2 linked regions of the Mus musculus genome follow. The protein of the gene in region 1 interacts with the protein of each later gene in a biochemical or structural test. Links are inferred from orthologs where the notes say so. Each region holds a gene or a part of one and is shown on either strand. Other genes may lie near its edges.

What was found.
Region 2: the proteins of Tcerg1 (region 1) and Sf1 form a complex in vitro, tested with the Homo sapiens proteins (3 studies listed by BioGRID). The link is inferred for Mus musculus from reciprocal best matches to the Homo sapiens genes TCERG1 and SF1.

What each region holds. Positions count from the first base shown.
Region 1 is NC_000084.6:42,563,186-42,567,009, forward strand, and holds part of Tcerg1 (transcription elongation regulator 1), read left to right. Parts: intron 1-897; coding exon 898-1,048; intron 1,049-3,824. UniProt on the Homo sapiens protein: Transcription factor that binds RNA polymerase II and inhibits the elongation of transcripts from target promoters. Regulates transcription elongation in a TATA box-dependent manner.
Region 2 is NC_000085.6:6,373,401-6,376,148, reverse strand, and holds part of Sf1 (splicing factor 1), read right to left. Parts: intron 2,577-2,748; coding exon 2,396-2,576; intron 2,140-2,395; coding exon 1,866-2,139; coding exon of another isoform or gene 1,862-1,865; intron 1,601-1,861; coding exon 1,541-1,600; intron 1,431-1,540; coding exon 1,251-1,430; intron 492-1,250; coding exon 154-491; 3' UTR 1-153. UniProt on the Homo sapiens protein: Necessary for the ATP-dependent first step of spliceosome assembly. Binds to the intron branch point sequence (BPS) 5'-UACUAAC-3' of the pre-mRNA. May act as transcription repressor.

The sequences.
Region 1 (3,824 bases):
ATTGTTTAGGCAAGATTTTCAATCCTATTTAAAATAATCTTTGTTTTAACATAGATAATGCATTTTAGTTTTTCTAATTAAAATTATTTTAAAAGAGATTAAATAAGCCTCATTTTCCATTTGTAACAGTCATAAAGGGTGTTGGCTCCTCTGGAAGTGGAGTTGTTTGTGAGCCATCTGAGGTAGGTGGTGGGAACCGACTTCAGGTCATCTGCAAGAAGGGCAGTAGTAAGTTCGTGCTCCTAACTGATGAGCCATTTCTTCAGCCCTGCTCTTTTACTCTAATCCTGGTGACAGAAAGTGGTTATGCCATGCTTTTCAACCGTGGGTTGTGTTTGAGGCCCCACTGGGAATTATCCTTCAGTCAGTCTTCTGGGGACTCGTGTTTTCTCTGCTCTTTCAGTGCCCAAACTCTTGCAGGTTTCTAGCCCTGTGTTGTACATGAATTCCAGTAGGGTGTACCTCAGGAGTTCTCTCCTTCAGGTAACTCACTGTCATCTCATCTCTAGTCATCTGCTTTAAATAAGTTGCCCTACGTCCTTTGTCTAGTTTGTGAAGAGTAGTCAGAAAAGATTTTCCACTGTGTTTGAAGCAAGCCTTGGCTACACCCTGGAGTGTCATGATGAGTCATTAAGTCTCTAGATGCACGTGTTCTTCATTCCTGGCCTTTATTAAAAAGTAATTTATTATATTCCCCTAATCTGGGCTGGTAGCATACACTCACTAACCACATTTTCAGTCCGTCACTCTTTCTATTCCTTCCTGTGGGTCAGTTTGAATTTGGGACCCGAATGTCTGTGGTATATGTTCTTGCTAGGAAAGTGGTAATTCCTTTATGCTTGTTTTAGAAACAGAAATAGTCAATTAAAGTTAGCATGCTTGACCATTTTCTTACAGAGCTACTTTTAGTGAATTTGCTGCCAAACATGCTAAAGATTCAAGATTCAAAGCAATTGAAAAGATGAAAGATAGAGAAGCATTGTTTAATGAGTTTGTGGCAGCTGCAAGGAAGAAAGAAAAAGAAGATTCGAAGACGAGAGGGGAGAAGGTGAGGCGGCTTAGTTGTAGGCGGGAGGGGAGCACTTGCATGTGTGTTCCTTGGATGTGCACAGTTGTCATACACATTTATAATCACTTTATAATCACCTCTTTTCATAATGCTTATTTTATGAACGTAAGCAAACTATATACAGTTGCTTTAAATTCTGATAAATAAGGTGCCTTGTCAACCTGGAACTGGGTTTTAGAACTGCATGCTCTGAGATCACTAAAGTGTGTTAAGATTTCAGAAGTCTTTTTAGATGTTAACATTTGAATTTCAAAGGACTTCTTACTCTTTGTATTCTATAAAAATATAACTTTAGTAAACTAGTTTCTAATCTTTTAGTAAACGTATCTTACATATAAATTATTGCTTATCAGAATTAAAGGTCAGCTATTAAAGATTAATGCATCTGAAATGTCATTTGATAGCAATGCCAGGAACAGAGAGCTCAGCACTGTGGAGGCAGAACAGCGGGCAGATGACCCCAGTGGTGCCCAGCCATCAAAACAGTCACTCTCCTCAGTGTTCCGGTCTCTTTGTAATAGGGGAAGGGGGTCTGGAGCCTAATCACGCCTGACATTCAGAATTGCTGCTTACCGTGGAAAGCTAAAATGTTACAGATTCTGTGAAGAAACCTTGTTAGGGCAGTAATCCGAAGGCTCACTTTTAAGACGCCTCTTTCAATTAAGTTAGTAAGAGTGCTAGTTAGATGAAACAGCTTTTGACAGTAATAGCAGAATTCTGATTATCTGATGGCTTCAAAGTAAATTTTTATACAATTATTTTACAGGTGACTTAAAATTATTATGCTTCTTAAACATACAGAAAAATCATGTGAACAAAAAAAATCACATCTCATATGTTCATTTAAAATCCCATAAATTGCTGCTTTTGATTTTTTTTTTAAGTATATAATTTAGTTTTCATTTTATGTGCACTGGTCTTTTGCCTGCATGTATGTCTGTGTGAGAGTGTCAGAAGCTCTGGAACTAATGTGAGCTGTCATGTGAGTGCTGGGAATTGAACTCTGGTCCTTTGGACGAGAAACTAGTGCTCTTAACTGCTAAACCATCTTTCCATCCCCTACCTTTGACTTTTAGAATAACATATTCAATTAAAGAAAACCAAGTAAATGATCATTTGATAGTCTATCATTGCACTTTTACAAATTGGATTATTTATGGCATAACTTTCTAAACATGTTTGAGATAACATGGATTTTATTTTTATAATAAGTGCTAGTCTTTGCAGTTTTCTAATTTAGTTTTAAGAGCTGCTCATCACTGGTGCACTGTTAGAGATTTCCTACTTGTACTGTTGCTTTAACGTCCGCAGTTCTGGTACTTACTAGTCTTACTTTTCCCCCTGACCTCTTTATCCTCTGGCTTATAAAAGACTGAAAGTCTGAGCTAATTTCAAAAATACAAAATGGATTATTAGACCAGAGAGAATTTATAAGGGTTAAGTAGATCTCTTGTTCACATTTTGTGAAGTATTTGGTTAATAAAAATGTTATCACTCTCTCTGTATTGTTTCTGCTAATCTTACACTTAAAAAATTAGAAGATAATTGTAGCCTTGTTAGTGGTGAGACTGGCAGCAGCAGCAGGAGGTAATTGACTGTGTGAGTAGTGAGGTTTGCGTCTGCGCAGCTTTCCAGTTTATGAAAACCACCTCCCTAGAGTTGGTCTGCTTTTATTTGGCTTATGTGCACTTTGTTTGCAAAAGTCAATATTGAAACTTTTATTTACTGCAATTTACTCATTGTAAATACTTCGTTCTTCATACCACACATTTGATGCTGTAGGCCTGGAGTTAACCCTGTTAGACAATTGGCGTTTTAATTAATTAACTAATTAATTAATTAAAATGTTATGCCATGTGGTGTAAGTATTTTTGCTGTGGTAAGGATAGAAAACAGGACTGTGAATTAAGCTCATGGTAAATTTCATTTTTTTTCCATTTATTCAGGTATTGACTACTTGTTGTGCTTAGCAGCCCTAGCATGTATGTCATGATGTAAGAGGTTATTTAAAGTATCACACACATTAAAGACTAACTATATAGTTCACATGTTTAGAGACTTTTAAGTTAATATAAATTCTCATGGCTTAGAACAAATCTTTTGACATAGAGTATATATACTATTTAGTGTAATTTTGCCTTCTAGTTATCAGACACACTTACGATTGATATTTATTAGGTACAAAGTTGGCAAGGTGAATAGAAAAATCGTGCTATTACATCAAATACTTTAATACTTGAAAAACTGGGCTTCTGAGCATTTTTATTAATATAAAGGTTAATAAAAAGGTTAATTAAGGTTCAAGTTTAATAACAGAAAAATCCATAGCTGATATTTAAAAATATTTCTGAAGCAGAATGCTTGTGAAATTTTTTGTCTTAGAACCTTACAAATGATTTTCAAAAAGAACATAGCCTCCCATAATTGTCTGAGAGGGGAAAGTACAGTTCTGAGAGGAGGGAGTAATGGGAATAGGTAGGAAGCACAATTCTTGTGCCACACATCTTAAATTCTAATTTGCTTCCTAACTCCTCACTCCTTGGTCAGACAGCAAGGAAAAATATTTAATCCCAGTAGTAAAGGGATGCTTGGCCAGAATCCTTTGGACTTTGGGTGTCTTCTGCTGTAGCCCTAATACCATAATTCAGACTCACTGGAGAGTCATGAGACAAGTGCCTCCTACATTTCCTCTCTGTTAAACAGACTGCTCTTGGACTGGGGGGCTAAGTTTAGTATTACTCAGGGCCTTTGACAC
Region 2 (2,748 bases), on another chromosome or scaffold:
GCCCAGTGCGTGCACACACACACATGCGTGCACACACAATCACATGCGTGCATCCCAATGTCTGGCTCCATATGGTGAGGTTCGGCGTGTGTTTATAAGAGACCAACTCTCTATGTATATAATATATATTTTCTTAAAAAAAAAAAAACAAGTCTAGTTCTGTGGTGGAGGCGGTGGGGGAGCTGGAGGCATCCCGAAGGGCGGCATGCCCGCCACCCCCATGCCCATCATGGTGACAAAGTTAGAAGGGTCCATGGGAGGCGGAGGAGGAGGGGGTGGGGCATACATCATGCCGGCGGAACCAGGTGGCGGAGGCGGCGGAGGGGGAGGGGCCCCGGGCGGCAGAGGCGGCTGGACCCCGGGGGGCAGGGGCACCATAGTGGGGTTGCCTTGCATCTGAGGGGTTCCTGGAGAAGCTGCGGCAGCCGCCTGCTGCTGTTGCCATGGCGGGATGGACCCTGTGCCAGCGCTCGTGGTGGTAGTCGTCGTATCTGGGGTAGTAAAGAAGCCCAAGGTCACACGCGCGGGGGTACACCGCGGCTCTCTGCGGCTGCTGCCTTGGGACAGGGGGGACGAGGGGCGCCTGCTCCTTGCTTTGGCATGCTGTACGGTGGTGGGGGGCGGGCGGGCGGGGCTGTCCTGGTGATGGGAGTGGAGGGGTGGGCAGGACTACCCTGGGGTCAGCCTCATGGTCTCTGGGCTTAACAAAGTAAGCCCTTTGTCACCAATGCCCCTGGAGGGGCTCAGGGGAAAGTTCCAGACACAAGAACCGGCTTTGACGTCCCTCCGCCCAGCCGCCGCCACCACCGAACGGCACATTCAACCTCAAGCCCACAACTACTCTCTCCCCATCGGCCCCTTCCCTTTTTTCTGCAGTCTCTCAGGCCCAATCACAACCCCCTCCAGAACATGCATGCACCATCCCACTCTTGACTCCGCTCACAAGGCATGGCCGAACCAGCAGCTCATTCAGCAGCTTAGCCTGGACTTCTGGTGCTCTATCTACAACAGCAAGCTCCCCTCCAGACCTCCCAAGTCTCTCCCAAACACAACCACGCCAAACATCAGCTCTCCTCCCCAAGACATTCCCTTGGGCCAGGCAGCCTGGCTTTCAACCCCACTGCCCTTGCTGAGAGACCAGAGTCCTCAATGAAGGTGTCTCCAGCCTGTGTGAAATTATGAGGTTCTTGTTCCCCTCAGCCCTAGCCCACATCCCACCCACCCCCACAAGCCCAAAATATTCCACTCACTTTGCTGCCATGGCAAGGGGGTGCTGGAAGCCATACTGCTGCTGGGCGGAGGGGGTGGCGGAGGCTGCTGCTGCTGCTGCTGCCATGGAGGAAGAGGACCAGAGGGAGGAGGCGGGGGCTGCCCACTGGGAGGTGGCGGAGGCGGCGGCATCATGCCCATAGGCGGCGGCGGCATCATACCTGCAGGCAGTAAGACCAGGGTCCTGGGCTTTAGAGAGCAGGGTCCTGGGCTAGAAGCCCCATTTGCTCCCAGTCCTAGACAGAGATCCCAAGAGAGTAAGCAGCATTACCTTTTCCTTGATGCAGGCGATAGACCCCAGAGCCCACAGGCGTACTTCCCAGGTACTGATCTTGATGGAAGGAAAGAGCAGGGACTTAGCAGGACATTTGAACTGGCCAGGCAAAACACCATAGCTTTCTCAGCTTTTTGACCCAAAAGTTCATGGGTCTCCCCGCACAGATCCTCCATGAGCCTAGACCTCAGCAAGATTCAGAGTACTAGCTAGATTCAGAGTACTAGCTAGCCAAACTGCTGTTGCAGCTCACAGCTCACTACTTGGGGTGACCCTATCTCCCCTCCCAAGCCCCAAGGTTTCTGGTCTGACACTTACTTACCCATTGGAGGAGGGCCATGGTGCCCAGGTGGGTGGGGGCCCTGGTTCATCGGTGGTGGTGGTGGCTGCATCCAAGGTGGTGGTGGTCCATTTGGGTTGTGCTGCATGGGATGCCCACCATGCCCACCTGTCAGGCTGGGTAATGGGTGTGGGAAGCTGTGGGGGCCACCTCCAGGACCACCAGGACCACCTCCATGCATGCCATGGTAGGGCCGATTCTCTGAAGGACCAGAATTCATCCAGGGTGGGCGGCTCTGAGTTGTAGACATGAGAGACTACGTGAGAGCATTTCCTGCCAATGTCCGCGCCTGCGCCCCCTGGTGGCAACATTGTTCTTCTGACTATGTCAGAGGACCAAGGACACACGGACAGGGTCCTCCCAAAGTGACCCTACAGAGGCCAGACATCCCAGAAAAACAATGTTGCCAGCTATATCCACCTCTAAGCTTTACCCCAAATCCTTGGCCATAGCTCCTTATCTCTGCAGAAGAGAACAGGGGAGCTAGACCAGAAAACTGTCCCAGGGCTCACCGGTGGTGGTGGGTTGCTGGCAGGAGCAGCAGGTCTTGGTGCACTAGCCAGGGGCGTGGTGGCAGGCCCAGAGGTAGAGCCCACAGATGCAGGGACAGGAGCTTCCCCTAGCTCAGCCATAAGGGACAAATATTCTTTATCCATCCGTGCTTTATCCTGAGCTGACTGAGGGTCGCCAGGCCTAAAGTAGGGTCAGAAACACAAAGTAAGGAGAAGAAAATACCAACAGAGCATTCAGTCAAATGTGACCCCCTTTCTAATCCTTTACTGGAAACAGTTATCCAATGTCCATTTTGTGTCTATTTTTAACCACTGCCAGTCACAAAAGAGGCTCTGGATTACAGATTCCAGCA